Macaca mulatta: one gene and its partners. The protein of the gene in region 1 interacts with the protein of each later gene in a pairwise test. Links are inferred from orthologs where the notes say so. Each region holds a gene or a part of one and is shown on either strand. Other genes may lie near its edges.

Region 1 (5,196 bases):
CTATCAACAGGGAGTAGAAACAGAATTTTTCATTTTCTATCCTGTGTTTCTTTTTTTCCTGAATTATACAAATGATGCAAATTCTCTGTAGAAATTTTAGAAATTAACACATTAGTAAACCTACCATCCAAAAATACTTTTTGAGATTTGACACATCAAAACCACCATATATATTCTTAGCACATAAATAATCATTTATATGTTCTTACATAAATATATAAACATTTATAAAATCTAGAATCACTTGTTTTATGGGGAGGGAAGGCCATGTCAATAATGTAGGAGGATGGATGGCCCATGGACTAACAAAAATTTCTGTTGTAAATGTTTGACACCAAGGGGAAGCGCTTGACCTGGGCCGTTCAATGGGTGATGCTTGAGCTGGCTTTGGAAAGTGAATGCTCTAGTCAAGGAATGTAGATGCTGTGGTGATGGAAACACTTGATAGTCAGGTGGGCTGGAGGTAGGAAGGAGAAGGTAAAGCTGGAGGATACTTGATTTTGTTTTGAGTTTTTGTTTTTTTGAGACTGGGTCTTGCTCTGTCTCCCAGCCTGGAGTGCAGTGGTGCCATCACAACTCACTGCAGCCTTGATCTCTCGGGCTCAAGTGATCCTCCCACCTCAGCCTCCCAAGTAGCTGGGACTACAGGCGCACACCACCATGCCCAGCTAAGTTTTGTATTTTTTGTAGAGACGGGGTTTCACCATGTTGCCCAGGGATGGTCTAGAACTCCTGGACTAAGGGATCCACCCACCTCAATCTCCCAAAGTGCTGGGATTACAGGCGTGAGTCACTGTGCCTGGCTGAAGATCCTGGATTTTGAAGGCCCCTGAATGACAGTGAATGTGATGCTATAGGCCACTGGGCTTCCTTGAAGAGTTCTGGGTAAGGATGCAGTGTGGTAAGCTTTATATTTCAGACAGTTTATGAAGTTGTGTGGAGGACAGATTGGGGGAATAGGAGCATGAAAGCCAGGGACAAAGCTGGGCAACCATTGAAATGTCTATAATACATTTTGTTTCCTAAGTACAAACATAGAGGTGACCATGTGTCCTGGCTGGCTGGAGACAATCCTAAATTATGGCTTTGGTCCCAGAGTAATTATATTAAGAGCCACTTTCATGCTCAAACATGTCTCAGTCTGAAGATTAAATATCATCTACATATACACAGCAACAAAACATCCACAATTCTTACCTTCACTGTGTGAAAGGCACTGACATTTTTTTCTCTTTTTTATTTTTATTTTTTATTATTTTTGAGACACAGTCTCACTCTGTTGCCCAGGCTGGAGTGCAGTGGCGCGATCTCAGCTCACTGCAACCTCTGCCTCCTGCGTTCAAGTGATTCTCAAGTAGCCTCTCAAGTAGCTAGGATTACAGGCATACGTTACTATGCCCAGCTAATTTCTGTATTTTTAGTACAGACGGGGTTTCACCATGTTGGCCAGGCTGGTCTCGAACTCCTGACCTCAAGTGATCCGCCTGCCTCAGCCTCCCAAAGTGCTGGGATTGTAGGCGTGAGCCACTTCGTCTGGCTTTTTTTTTTTCAAATGTTGGTTGCAACCTATTAAATTGATTTCGTGACACACTAAATAGTTCATAACCCTCAGTTTAAACAACTCTGACCTACACGCCTGCCAAGTCTTAGGAAAACAGGAAGGAGACAGCTAATTAAGTTTGGGTGATGCATAGTCTAAGGCATTGGTTCTCAACATTGGCAGTGCAAGATCACGTGAGGTACGACTGAACACGGAGATCTCCAAAACTGCGGAGAGTTGTGCGTGTGCACATATGCACAGACATCTACATGGAAATGGCTGTAACGCATCCAGCCATAAGGCGTACAAGGGTATGTATACTTACAGAGTTAAGAACCACTATTCTCAGGAGTTATATGACAGCCTGAGAAGACGCCCAGGATGTAGGAACAGGGAGCAAGCGAGCGTTTGGCACCTTGAGGGTGCTCCGCGCGTCTGGTAAAGCCAACGAGCCCCTCCTCTTCGCTGGCCTCTCCGGGGCCTTGCTGACCAGTGGTCGAAGCCACAGGACCGGGTGCGGGTGGCCAGCGTAACCGGGGCAGCCCCGCGGCTTCCCCTCGGCCGCGCCAGGACGCTCTGCACGCGGCGACGACGGCCCCACAGTTCCCCGCGCGCGCAAGCGCAGGCGGCGGCTCCCGGCGTGCAGCTCGGTGGCGGCTGACCCGGCAGCGGGCCGCCTCAGGCAGCCCTGGCCGGGCCGCCCGGGTCCCCGGCAGCGGGGTAGGATGGCGCTAAAGCGGATCCAGAAGGTACGCACTTTCCCACCCTCCGACTCTTTGGGTGTCCGAAGCGTCGAGGTGTGGGCGGGGCGCCGCTGCCGTGAAGTGAAAGGTGACAAAGGCTCCGCAAGTCGCGGATACACCTGCCTAGGAAGGTGGCCGAACAGCCACCCGCGCAGCCTGAAAAGCTAACGCAGCCTGAGAAGGGGATTGCGCGAGCGCGGGGCGGGGCCGGGCCGTGACCACGTGGGCTGCGTCACGCTGGCGGGGCGCCGTGGGGCCACCTGCAGGCTCCTGGACAGCGGGTTGCTGGGTCCCCGGAGTAAGGCAAGCTTGCTCCTCTAGGGTATCCAGAAGGGCTGGATGGGTATCCAGAAGGGTATCCAGAAGGGTATCCAGGATGAAGCTGGGTCCTAAGCGATGAGTAGGAACTCGGCAGGTGGGGAAGAGGGAAAAAGGCTTTCCCGGCAATGGGGAGACCACGAGGCCTGGAGGACTGACAGGATAGGGGAGAAGCTGAAGGGCAGATGGTGTGGACTCGGGTGGTCCTTAGGGGCAGTGCTGAAATAACTGATTTTTATCCTGTAGGTAAGAGGGAGTCCATGAAGGTTTAATGCATTCACTAGGATTTGGAAAATGCACAACAGTAGAAGAAAGAAGTATTTCTAATCCTATCACTTTACTATTTGTTAACATTTTAGCATACCTATGTTCAGTTTTTTCTATATTTAAAACAATTATCCTGCATTTTGTATTCCACTTATTCACATAATAGTAAATGTAAGCATGTTGTGAAGTAGTATTTATAACTTTTTTTTTTTTTTGAGACAGTCTTGCTCTGTCGCCCAGGCTGGAGTACAGTGGCACAATCATGGCTCACTGCAGCCTCAACCGTCCGGGTTCAAGTGATCCTCCCTCCTAAGCTTCCTGGGTAGCGGGGACTACATGCCACCATGCCCAGCCAATTGTTTATTTTTTGTAGAGACAGTGTCTCACTATGTTGCCCAGGCTGGTCTCATACTCCTGGGCTTAAGCGATCCTCTTGCCTCCACCTCCTAAAGTGGTGGGATTACAACGTGAGACACCATGTCCAGTTCTGTAACTAATTTTTAACATTAACTTTCCACAAGTACATGACTAGTGACTTATTTAGTCATTACCTGTAGTAGGTAAAACTGTAGTAGGTAAAAGTATGAACTTGGGTGTCAGACCTGGGTTAGAGAATGTGAGGTCACTTATAGTGGGACCTTGGGTAAGGCACTTAATCATTCCTAGCCTCCCAGTCCTACATGTTTACAGAGTTGTTTCGAGAATTAAATGCTATGAAATGTGTTTAGCACATGCTTGCTGTATACCAAGCACTCAATATGAGTTAGCTGCTGTTGTTCAAAATTCTTCACTATTTGCTGTTATGAACTTTGTATTAGGCTGTTTTGTTTGCTATAAAGGAATATCTGAGGCTGAGTAATTAATAAAGAAAAGAGGTTTATTTGGCTCTCAGTTCTGCAGGCTGTACAAGAAGCATAGTGCCAGCATCTGCTTCTAGTGAGGCCTCAGGAAGCTTACAATCATGGCGGAAAGCAAAGGAGAAGCAGGCGTGTCACCTGGTAAGAAAGGGAGCGAGAGAGATGCCAGCTCTTTTAAACACCCAGATCTCGCATGAACTAATAGAGTGAGCACTCACAGATTATTGTTGGGGGGCTACCAAGCCATTCATGAGGAATCTGCCCCCATGACCCAGACACCTCCCACCAGGCCCCGCCTCCAACACTGGCGATCACATTTCAGCATGAGATTTGGAGGGGACAAATATCCAAACCAGATCAACCATCATTGTACAGTGAGCCTTTTCCTTAATTCACATTACTGGGTTTGATTGCCAGAGGTGGAATAACAGGATCTCTGAGAGTATGACTCTTCTTTTTAAATAGCTGTCCAAAAGAGAGATAATTTTGATGAGTTATTCTCTGAAAGGGGTCATCTGTCATCCTAGGACTTTGAAGCAGGTGAATGACGTGCTGAGATCTGTGTTATAAAAAGATCCTTCTGGCGGCAGTGTGGCCTAAAGTGGGACAGAGGGAGACTAGAGGCTGTTGTGAAGATTCAGCAGAGGCTTTGCCCAAATTAATGACCATGGAATGGATGCTAGGCCAAAGCAGTGCCTGGACCACATTACAGAAGTGGAATTGACAGGACTTGAGGAGAGGATGTGGTGAAAGTGAAACAAGGAGGTGTACAAAATGGGTCACAAAGCAGTGCCTGGACCACATCACAGAAGTGGAATTGACAGGACTTGAGGAGAGGACGTGGTGAAAGTGAAACAAGGAGGTGTACAAAATGGGTCACTTAGTAGATGGTGGTGTTATTATCTAGGATGGGGAATCAGAAGTTTTGAAGGCAGGGAGGAGGGTAGGAGAGATTAAGGAGTAAAGGTTTGAGCCTACATATTCAAATGTATAGGCTGATAAGATTTATAAAAGGAAGGGTTTGGAAAAACAAGTTTGGACCTTGAGCATGAAATGTCAACTATAGATCCAAGGTAACTGAAGTCATAAGGCCAGGGAGAACTTTTCCTTGATAAGAATCAAGGACAGGCTGGGTGCAGTGGCCCATACCTATATCCCAGCACTCTGGGAGGCCAAGGCGGGTGGATTGCTTGAGTCCAGGAGTTTGAGACCAACTGGGCAACACAGCAAAATTCCATCTCCACTAAAAATTAAAAAATGGCCAGGCGAGGTGGCTCATGCCTGTAATCACAGCACTTTGGAAGACCAAGATGGGTGGATCATTTAAGGTCAGGAGTTTGAGACCAGCCTGACCTATGTACTGAAACCCCTCTGTAATAAAAATACAAAAAAATTAGCCAGGCGTGGTGGTGCACGCCTGTAACCCCAACTACTCCAGAGGCTGAGGCAGGAGAATTGCTTGAACCCGGAG
Region 2 (5,358 bases), on another chromosome or scaffold:
TTATGTTATATGTATTTTGTGATACATTTTTTTTTGAGACGAAGTCTTGCTCTATTTGAAAAATTGTCTTTTTGTTATTGAGTTGCAGGAGTTACTTATATATTTTGGATAAGTAGACCTTTGTCAGATATATACGATTTGCAAATATTTTATTCTATTATGTGGGTTGTCTTTTCATTTTCTTGATAGTGTCCTTTTGTTACAGGAAAGAGGTCCCAATCCAGACCCCAAGAGAGGGTTCTTGGATCTCACACAAGAAAGAATTCAGGGCGAGTCCGTAAAGTGAAAGCAAGTTTATGAAGAAAGTAAAGGAATGAAAGAATGGCTACCCCATAGACAGAGCAGTGCCAAGGGCTGCTGGTTGCCCATTTTTATGGTTATTTCTTCATGATATGCTAAACAAGTGGTGGATTATTCATGCCTCCCCTTTTTAGACGATATAGGGTAACTTACTGACGTTGCCATGGCATTCGTAAACTGTCATGGCACTGGTGGGAGTGTAGCAGTGAGGACAACCAGAGTTCACTCTCGTGGCCATCTTGGTTTTGGTGGGTTTTAGCCCACTTCTTTACGGCAAGCTGTTTTATCAGTAAGATCTTTATAACCTGTATCTTGTGCTAATCTCCTATCTCATCCTGTGACTTGGAATGCCTAACTGTCTAAGAATGTAGCCCAGTAGGTTGCTCAGCCTTATTTTACCCAGCCCCTACTCCAGATGAAGTTGCTCTGGTTCGAATGCCTCTGACATTTTGAAGTACAAAAGTTTTTAGCTTTGGTGAATGCAATTTATGTGTTTTTTTCCTTTGTTGCTTGTGCCTTTAGTTTCATGTCTAAGAAACTATTACCTAATTCAAGTTCATAAATATTTACTCCTACATTTTCTTCTAAGGGTTTTTTGGTTTTTTTTTTTTTTTTTTTGAGAGGGAGTCTCGCTCTGTCGCCCAGGCTGGAGTGCAGTGGCGCAATCTCGGTTCACTGCAAGCTCCGCCTCCCGGGTTCGTGCCGTTCTCCTGCCTCAGCCTCCCGAGTAGCTGGGACTACAGGCACCCACCACCACGCCCTGCTAATCTTTTGTATTTTTGGTAGAGACGGGGCTTCACCATGTTGGTCAGGCTGGTCTCTATCACCTGACCTCATGATCCGCCCTCCTCGGCCTCCCAAAGTGCTGAGATTACAGGCGTGAGCCACTGTGCCTGGCCTTCTAAAGATTTTATAGTTTTAGTTCTTACATTTAGGTCGTTGATCCATATTTAGTTAATTTTTGCATATGGTGTGAGGTAGGAAGCATATAATTTTAATTTCTGCTTAGCCTGATGATAATCATGTGACCCTTTGTAAGTTTTTGCACCTAAGTCTCAATTTCCTTATTTGTAAAGTGAGAATAACAAATGGTAGCTAAATCATAAGGTTACAGTGAAGATAGAAAATTTACGTAGAGCATTTATCACAGTGCTTGAAGCATCCTAACTGCTCAATAAATGCGGTCGGTGTTGCAGTTATAACATGAGCGATGAATGCGTGCTTCTGCAGTGGAGCTCCAGAAAGACGGGCAGCATTTCTGAGAAGGTAAACGGGAGGAAGCAGGCTAGCTTAGTCCACTTAGAGAAGCAGGTCTGGGATTGTTGTGAGAGTCTCTGCCCTAGGTAGACCACTGCCTCGTGATCACCTCTGGGGATTGGTAAAAATTGGAATTCTCGGGCCCCATCAGAACTACTGAAAACAGCCTCCTGTGAGCACTGGGCTCGCAGTGGTTGGAGTGACGGCGGTCGCGCCGGCAGCGCCGCCTTGGGCCTGCGGGAGGCGCCCGAGAGACAGGGGCGACCACGGCGGCTGCGCAGAGTCCTCTCTAGGCCGACTACCCCACCAGCGGGATCCGCTTGGCTCAGCTGACAGCTCCCGAGAACGGAAGAGGCGGTGCGCCGGTTGAGCAGGGAATTGCTAGGCCTGGTCGGCTGGCGGCGGTGAGTGGGCCCCGGGCAAGGGCGGAGGGCGGAACTTTGGAGCTTGGCACTGCCGGGTGGCCGGAAGGTACGGTGGGGACAGCTCTCTGGGCGCGCGAGGCAGAAAAGGGGACCGGGCCAGGACTGTACAGTGGGCCTCAGTCGCTCAAACCCGGGACCGGGCGTCCGCAGCCCAGCTGGCCGGGACTCCCTTCCGGACGCTCCTGAGGAGGAAGAGAAAGGTGTGGGCCCTGCTTCTTTGGGAGGCCCCAGGCTGGCCAGCAGCTCACACGCCCGGATAGCGCCCTCTGATCCCAGCGCTGGGGCGGATAGCTAGCCTTGGACTTGCCCCTGTTTTGGGGTAGTCGCCCAAACGACTCCGCACGCCGGGTGGCGAGCTGAACCCAGACCAGGACACCCGAAGACCAAATGGATAGAATGAGAAGGAAATGGGGGTAGCAACCAGAATTGAGGTACTGGCTTCCAAGTGACAGCTTCACAAGCTGAAATCTAGTAGGGTAGGTCATGAGGAACTGTTGAAACACTGCTTGGAGTAGAAGTTGCTAGCCCTGACTGCATATTGGAATCACCTGGAGAACTTGGACAACTACTGAGGCCTGAATTAATTGTTCTGGGTGTGGCCTGGGTATTCAGATTTTAAAAAACAGCTCCTTAGAAGATTCTAATGTGCAGTCAGATGGAGAACACTAACCTAAAACCATAAACTGCATAAATGAATCTCTCATCCCATTTGCAAATGTTTTAACAGGAAGAAACAAAAAGCTTAATTAGCACCATATATTCCCACCTAGTAAAATTGTTTAAGATTAAATAAGACAATGTGAAAGGACCTAATACTGTACGTAGTAGGTGCTCAATAAATGTAAATTGATTCTGAATCTCATTCTTATTGGGGAGTTACACATCCGAGAATCTGTAACTTTTTAATTATGGTTTTGTATATGGTATTTTTGCATATAATTTTAGGGTGTTGATAGGATTCTCCATAACCCATCTGAGACCATACTCCCTTTTCCCCTCACCCCAGTGAAGAAGCCTAGCTCTAAAGCGTTTAGAATAAAACTTAAAAGTTTCTGTTTGTGTATTCTTGTTTTGTTTAAGTATTTTTCTGTTATCAGAATTAACCATGAGTGCCACTGGTGGTATTAATTCATGAACAAGAGAGGAAAAACTGGAGGGGGATGGCAAATGAAGGAATACAAAAAGCAGAAGAGGAAAGGAGAAAAAACAAGAAACTGAAGAGGCTGTTTGTTATGGGGCATGGTGTCCTGTCCTCTCATATGACCTTGGTGTTCCTCCTTACCTCCTCCCATGGCTGAGGGCAGACAGATAAAAAGTCCTCAGTCATTGCTGGGCACATGCAAATACTCCTTTAACCACATGGCTCAGTCAGTCTGCCCTAGGAGAGTAACATGCACCTGTAGATTAGGATTGGCTGTATGTTAGGATATGTTTGACTTAAGTGGTGATCATGGAAATTCAGAATTTTAATTTGGAGAGGGTCCTAACACCATCTTTTGTATTTCTTTTCTGCAGATGGCAGGATTTTCATAGTATATGTAGTATGAGTTCCACATCTTGGCCTCTTATCCAGCTTCAGCAGTCTCAGCTCCACCAGTTAGAGAATAAATGGGATTTGCACGAACTCCACTCTGAGCTGAAATACAGACTGTGGTGTTAATATTCTTTTCTTCTGGTTGTTATTAACAGGTACTAACTGACCTCAAGTAGAACATGTAATTGTGTCTTTTAGGGAGGCAACTTAAGCAGAGCCATGAACTAACGTCTCCTAGAAAAAGTGTTTTTTGAAATGAAATCATTTTAAATTTCACAGTATGACCTTTTAGAATGTAAAAAAATCCTAACTTTTTAATTATGTACATTTTAATTAAAAATATTTTAGTTGTGAGGGAGGATATTTGCAAATGCAATTGTTGTTCAGTATTTTAATTGACAGAATGGTATTTTGTTTTATTAAAATGATTTTTGTAAATTCTCATTGCTTATTTTTTTCCACATTTAAATTATCTGAAATTGCTGTATCTTTCAGTTGACGCTATTTTAAAAAACATTGATTCATACTTTATTTATTTTTATTTATTTATTTATTTTTTTGAGACGGAGTCTCACTCTATAGCCCAGGCTGGAGTGCAGTGGCCGGATCTCAGCTCACTACAAGCTCCGCCTCCCGGGTTCACGCCATTCTCCTGCCTCAGCCTCCCGAGTAGCTGGGACTACAGGCGCCTGCCACCTCGCCCGGCTAGTTTTTTTTGTATTTTTTAGTAGAAACGGGATTTCACCGTGTTAGCCAGGATGATCTCGATCTCCTGACCTCGTGATCCACCCGTCTTGGCCTCCCAAAGTGCTGGGATTACAGGCTTGAGCCACCGCGGCCGGCCCCATACTTTATTTTTTGAGACAAGGTCTTGCTCTGTCACCCAGGCTGGAGTGCAGTGATGCAGACATGGCTCACTGCAGCCTCAGCATCCAAGGCTCAAGCGATCCTCCTACCACAGTCTCCTAAGTAGCTGGGACTACAAGCACACACCACCATACCTGGCTAATTTTTTATAGAGACAGGATCTTGTATGTTGCCATGGCTGATCTCAAACTGCTGGCCTCAAGCGATCCTCCTGCCTTGGCCTCTCAAAGTGCTGGGATTACAGGCATGAACCTCCACACCCAGCCAGTTCATACTTTAATAGTAGCTAATTTCTTTCTTTCTTTCTCTTTCTTTTTCTTTCTTCCCTCCCTCCCTCCCTCCCTCCCTCCCTCCCTTCCTTCCTTCCTTCCTTCCTGTCTCTGTCACCCAGGCTGGAATGCAGTGGCGCAGTCTCAGCTCACTGCAGCCTCCGCCTGCTGAGTTCTAGTGATTCTCAGTTCTCGTGCCTCAGCTACCAAGTGGTTGGGAATGCGTGCACCACCACGCCCAGCTAATTTTTGTATTTTTAGTAGAGATGGAGTTTTGCTGTGTTGGCCAGGCTAGTCTTGAACTCCTGGCCTCAAGTGATCTGCCTGCCTTGCTCTCCCAAAGTGCTGGGATTAAACGCTTGAGCCACTGTGCCTGGGCCTTGCAGCTAAATTCTTAGTATTACCTAAAATAATGGTAAATCTTTCTTAAAATTATTATCTTTTAAATATTCTTAAGTCATAATGGTAAATCTTAAAATTGATGACTGCTTGGATTTGACAAAATCTGTTATTTCAAAAATTTAATATTGTTTTGCTGCTTGCTCAGTTATCTAATTTTCTTGTATCTATGCCTGTAACATCCTCAAGCACAGTTTTCTCAACTGGAAGCAATTTTGCCTCCAACCCCCATCCTGTCCCAGGACTTTCGGTGCTACTTGGAGATTTTTTTTTTTTTTTGAGACAGGGTCTCACTTTGTCACCCAGG
Region 3 (5,483 bases), on another chromosome or scaffold:
TCAGAGCCATAACTCAATCACTCAGCCCCTCCAAAGATAGTTGAGTTGATGTGTGATATTCTCATAATGTTGAGAACCCTGATGAGATATATTATCTTCCCCTCGCTACAATGCCTCTGGGGCCAAGGCACCCATTCTTCTTGGTATCCTCCATCCCTCTTGAGGCTTCCACTTTTTTTTTTTTAAACATAAAGGTGGGCACCAGCAACTGGCCTGTGGTGATGCAAAGCTGCTTTGCTCTGTATCTGGCTGGACTGATCTGTCTCACAAGAAGCCATGAGGCCATAGGGAGAAGCTCTCTCTCCCCTTCATCTTCTGCTCCAAAGGTGGTAACAAGAGGCGTACCCATTGGGGTTGGAGCCCCCTTATAACATCTTCCTGTCAGAAGACTGATGGATCTTTTTCATTCCAACCATCTCCCTTTCCCCCGATGAATGCAATAAAACTCGGACACCAGCAACCGTTGTTCTTTAGAAATGGGTTTTCTGATCGCATGGCTGATGTATTATGGGCAGTATGGATGTCTTCATTTGTTGCTTCTGTTTTTCATCTTTTTTTGTTTTATTAATAAAAAATTGTGTATTTGCTCCCATTACTATCATAATACAGGGAATAAATTATTCAATCCAAATTCCTGTACAGAACTTTTTATTTTTTTATTTTATTTTTATTTTTTTAATTTTACTTCTCTGAGGAAGCCTGTGCTTAAGGGTGCAGAGACCAGCTGAAGAATTCTGGTGTTCAAGGTGTTGGGCCCCTAACTAAGGATGTGGGTTTCTAGACAGATGGCTGGGAACGTTTTTTAAAAAGCTGTGAAGGGTGTGCACCGGAATGGAAAACTTAAGTCTTCAACTTCGTGGGAGGTCAGAGGTAGTGAGGGCCAGGGAAGGGTAGGGTGATGGGACCCTTCCTCTTCCCTGAGTTCTGGGCTTGCTAACACTCCATCTTTGTAAAGGTGAGTAGGCCTCTCAGCCCACCAGCTAAAAGAAACGGAATCCAGTATTCCCCCAGGCTTCCTGGGAAAGCTGTCTTCTTCCTGGAGGGAAGGAAGAGTACAGCAGAGTCCTGGGAAAGTGAAGAAAGTGACCAGCTCTCCAGTCTAGAGGGGGAGTGAAAAAGGGGTGGATGAATAGAGGTTGTTGCCAGTTTGGGAGATTCCTGTCTTGGCTGAGGAAGTCTTTTGGCTGGTGGAAAAACCTGGCTTGATGTGGCCCTAGGGAAGTGAGTTGAATTGGGCAGAGACTGCTTGATGTGGGAAGCAGAGCAGAGCTTTTTTTTTTTTTCCTGAGAGTTTTTAACTCTATTTGAACCATACACACTTGACACTACCACCACCTCAAGCCATTTTTTAAAAAATGTATTCGTTTCCCATTCTGCACCAGCCTCCATATCCCTGTTTGTGGAAAGAGAAAAATCAGAGGCACTTACCAATGACCAACTGAGAGCAGGTTGTGGGGGTCACAGGAGGTAACAATCTAGAAAGAGGCAGATGAGGGAGGGGATTGAAATAGTTTAGTACCCGGATTTGTTTATTTTTTAAAACCAATGCTTTTTTTTTTACTATGACTCTTCCCATCCCACATTGTTCCTCAAAGGCCCTTCTACCATAAGGATTCAAAAAATTGCCGCCCTCCCCCCCGAATCCCCATATACCCACCAACACTTCACCCACCCATCCACCACCAGCTCCCCGGAGCTGCTACGCAGCTGGCTGGGAAAGAAAAGGGAGAGTGCTCCGCCGGGAGCGGGGAGCGAGAAGGGTGGCGTCTCCAGGGATTTAACCTCCTACCCTCAGTTCCATGACGCCACCCCCTCCCTCCAAAGACTGGAACAGCGCCTCCATTTTTGTTTTGGGGAGGAAGGGCAGGGGCTTGCGGATAGAAGGGGGTCAAAGGAACGGTGATTATCACCTGTGAGGGGAAAGAGGGTGCTGTCCTCCCTCCTTCCCTTTCCCTCAGCCTGCACCCCCTGCAACCCCCAACCTTTCGGGGTCTCCCCCCCCCTTGTTGCTAAGGCCCGGACCGTCATCCCAGCAACAGCCTCAGTCATGTGACCGGCAATGGCGGCGCTGACGAGAGGTAGGTGAGCCCGGCGCCCCCCACACCCACCGCGCGCCCCCCAGGCCCCGCTCGCACCCCTCACACGCCCCTCGCTCCCCCGGCGCCCCCTCCTCCACCTCCCCTCCCCGCGCGCGGCTCCGGGTTCCCCGCTCCGTGCCCGGCCGATCATCTTTCTAGCACCCTCCAGCCTTGGCCTCCATTCGGGGTTTCTGAGGGCTGCGATCGGGGCCGACATGCATCCCCGCCCGGCAATGGGGATCCGGGGGCTTTGGCGAGTGAGGGATGTGGGGAGTTGGTTCCGGGTCGGGTCTTGGAGGAGGCCGTGGGGGTAGGGCGGGAGCTGCCTCAGTGGATGCCCCCAGGGACCCTTGCCCTTCCGGGCTGTCCCTCCCTCTGGCCTCTATCTAGAGGGAGAGACTGTCCCTTGTCCGGCCTGGGTTCCCACAGAGGAATCACAGACCCACCCTAAACTGTGGCCCCGCCTCCCTTTTCTGTGCCAGCAGGACTTGGAGCTAGGACACCTAGGTCCTGGGTCCCCTGTGATGGGGAGGGGGGTGTTGCAGCGCAGATACACTGTATGGGCTGAGACTCTAGGGTTCCATTTTCACTTTATGAATCTCGAGGTGCATCTGGCCTTGGGGGACGATGATGGAGGCATGAAGGGACAGCTGCTCCTTTTTGGATCAGTCATTGAATGGAGGTCACACTAATGGCCCTTCTTTCTGTTTGAGCTGCATTTGGAAGTGTTGTGGGTACAGCCTGGTAGCCCAATGCGACCAGGCTCAGGGGAAACATCAGGCCCCTCCAGCTGAGCCCTTGTGTGAGCCCCGCCCCTCCCTAAATGCCAGACTTGGGAGCTGACAGACAGCCCTGCCTGTGCTGGGTTTAAAAGGTGACAATGAGAACTTTGTTATTGCAGGGGCTGCTGCCACTTTGTTCACATCCTTAACAGACTTCAGCAGAAGGGACTGAGTTAGCTCTCAAGGAAGGCTCCCTGGCAATAGGGGCTGAATTATTTGGGAACGTGGAGCAGGGGAGGAGTTGGAGAGCATAGGAAATATTCCGGTCCATGTGATCTGAGGGAGGTGGCAAGAAGACCTCCACCTGTGTGGGCGTTTTCTTTCCTGACATCTTTTATGTGTGCCCTAGGCTTTCTTGGGGGCCTCAGAGCTGGGGAAGAAAGGAGGAAGGTTAGCATGTTCCTTCTTGAGCAACTTGGGGAGAAGCTGATGATGGAATTCTGCAGAGGAGAGAGGAGATGGAAGTGGAGTTTTTATTTCTGGGTTGGCTGAGGGAAATGGTAACATTTGCCATCATAACTTTTTACCCTTCCCCTATTCCCAGTCCTGGTCAGCTGAGTGGAAATAGAAGGATTTCTGCTGCCATCATCTTCCATGGGCTTCCCAGGTATCTCTCCCACAAGGGATCCTCAATTTTCACCCTTAAGCTGGTTTCCTTCATTCCATGTTACCATTCTCAGTAACCTATACCCAGGTTTCTGTCTCTGTTCCATGGGCTGCTGGGTTGGGGGCCATGGGAATTGGGAGAAGGGGTTTCTCACTTTCCTTCCTTTTTTTCCGCCCTACCAGCTCACACGACCTACAAGTAGGGAGCAGGGAAAAAAGAGTGAGCCTGCATGCCAATTCTAAGCTCTTCAGGATCAAAGTAAGCAAAAAGGAGGGGCAAAAAGTCTCCCTCCCCTTTAAAGAGCCCATTTTCCCCCCAGAAGTGGGAGGGGCAAATTGTTTCTATGATCTGGGAGAAATGACAGGAGAAACAAGACTGATACTTGGCTTAGATGATAATACAGCTCTGGAAACTTTTTTGCTCTTCAGTGGGCGCTGGGTTTGGAAGATAAGGGGAGAGAGAATATGAATTTGGGGGAAGGGTTGGGGATTAGGCTTTGAGAAAACAGAGGTAATAGAGGGTTTGGAAGGAACCTGAAGTAGGAGGCACTGATACTTGTCAAATGGGGACCCCCCACCCTGAGTCCCTTTCACCCTGGGGGCAGTGTCGTTCGTCCTGTCCAGAATGGCAGCCTGTGGAGGCACCTGCAAGAACAAAGTGACTGTCTCCAAGCCTGTGTGGGACTTCCTGAGCAAAGAGACCCCAGCCCGGCTGGCCCGGCTTCGGGAGGAGCATCGTGTGTCCATCCTCATAGATGGCGAGACTTCTGACATCTATGTTCTCCAGCTTTCCCCACAGGGCCCTCCCCCGGCCCCTCCCAATGGGCTCTACCTAGCCCGGAAGGCTCTTAAGGGGCTGCTAAAAGAGGCAGAGAAAGAGCTGAAGAAAGCTCAGAGGCAGGGGGAGCTGATGGGCTGCCTGGCTCTGGGGGGTGGAGGGGAGCACCCTGAGATGCACCGCGCAGGCCCACCCCCTCTCCGAGCAGCCCCACTTCTGCCCCCAGGGGCTCGGGGGCTCCCCCCTCCTCCTCCCCCCCTGCCCCCACCTCTTCCTCCTCGCCTTCGGGAGGAGGCAGAAGAGCAGGAGAGCACCTGCCCCATCTGTCTGGGGGAGATCCAGAATGCCAAGACATTGGAGAAGTGCCGGCATTCATTCTGCGAGGGCTGCATCACCCGGGCTCTGCAGGTGAAAAAGGCCTGCCCCATGTGCGGCCGCTTCTATGGGCAGCTGGTGGGCAACCAGCCCCAGAATGGGCGGATGCTGGTCTCTAAGGACGCCACCCTCCTACTACCCAGCTATGAGAAGTATGGCACCATTGTCATCCAGTACGTCTTCCCGCCCGGTGTCCAGGGGGTAAGAAGACCATGGCCCACCCTTACCCTTTGGCTCTCCCCAGGCTCTGACCTAGGAAAACCGGGTGAGGGTGAGTGTGCTTGTTAGATGTGAGACAGTCTTGCTGTCTTCCACTATGCCCTCTTACTCAGTGCCCTAGACCTAGGAGGTCCCTGTGAGGCCCAGCTTTTCCATCCCTGTGATCCCAAGGCACATGTGAAAATCAGATATGAGCTAGGAAAAAAAAGCAAGTCAGATACGAGAAGAAGGAATTGCATATTACTTCCTTGATGAACACAAATACTGTGCTGACATCTTGGCAGAGGTAAATTCTGTGGAGGTGGTGGCTTAGGGGCAGGGAGGCACAATAGGAAGAGATCTGACCAACCCAACAGAGCCAGGAACATCACTTGGTAAAAACGGGAGTGGTCAAGGCCTATAGGTGTCTTCCTGCTGGACAAAGAGTAATGTGCAATTCTGGCTGCAGAGGGTTGAAGAAGCTGCAGAGAAGACTGATGGAAAATGGAACAGGTTAGACAGTGGCAGAAACATTAGGAATATTTTCAGGTTAAGGGAAGGCTGAAAGATAGATTATTCTGTCTTCACATTTCTGCTGAGTTGTCTGGAGTATAGGGACCAGCTACCTTCCATCACTTCTGAGAATCTATTTGTTGCTGAATGGAG

Evidence for each region.
Region 2: the proteins of UBE2D4 (region 1) and RNF14 interact in binary tests that used the Homo sapiens proteins (3 or more experiments, as listed by UniProt). The link is inferred for Macaca mulatta from reciprocal best matches to the Homo sapiens genes UBE2D4 and RNF14.
Region 3: the proteins of UBE2D4 (region 1) and DTX3 interact in binary tests that used the Homo sapiens proteins (3 or more experiments, as listed by UniProt). The link is inferred for Macaca mulatta from reciprocal best matches to the Homo sapiens genes UBE2D4 and DTX3.

What each region holds. Positions count from the first base shown.
Region 1 is NC_133408.1:84,433,918-84,439,113, reverse strand, and holds the start of UBE2D4 (ubiquitin-conjugating enzyme E2 D4), read left to right. Parts: upstream 1-1,792; 5' UTR 1,793-1,809; coding exon 1,810-1,851; intron 1,852-1,865; exon of another isoform or gene 1,866-2,265; coding exon of another isoform or gene 2,266-2,289; exon of another isoform or gene 2,290-2,459; intron 2,460-5,196. UniProt on the Homo sapiens protein: Accepts ubiquitin from the E1 complex and catalyzes its covalent attachment to other proteins. In vitro able to promote polyubiquitination using all 7 ubiquitin Lys residues, but may prefer 'Lys-11' and 'Lys-48'-linked polyubiquitination.
Region 2 is NC_133411.1:150,823,272-150,828,629, forward strand, and holds the start of RNF14 (E3 ubiquitin-protein ligase RNF14), read left to right. Parts: upstream 1-1,918; 5' UTR 1,919-1,961; exon of another isoform or gene 1,962-2,458; intron 2,459-3,497; 5' UTR 3,498-3,671; intron 3,672-5,358. UniProt on the Homo sapiens protein: E3 ubiquitin-protein ligase that plays a key role in the RNF14-RNF25 translation quality control pathway, a pathway that takes place when a ribosome has stalled during translation, and which promotes ubiquitination and degradation of translation factors on stalled ribosomes.
Region 3 is NC_133416.1:64,772,810-64,778,292, forward strand, and holds the start of DTX3 (putative E3 ubiquitin-protein ligase DTX3), read left to right. Parts: upstream 1-2,043; 5' UTR 2,044-2,078; intron 2,079-3,404; 5' UTR 3,405-3,467; intron 3,468-3,649; 5' UTR 3,650-3,696; coding exon 3,697-3,725; intron 3,726-4,071; coding exon of another isoform or gene 4,072-4,090; coding exon 4,091-4,820; intron 4,821-5,483. UniProt on the Homo sapiens protein: Regulator of Notch signaling, a signaling pathway involved in cell-cell communications that regulates a broad spectrum of cell-fate determinations.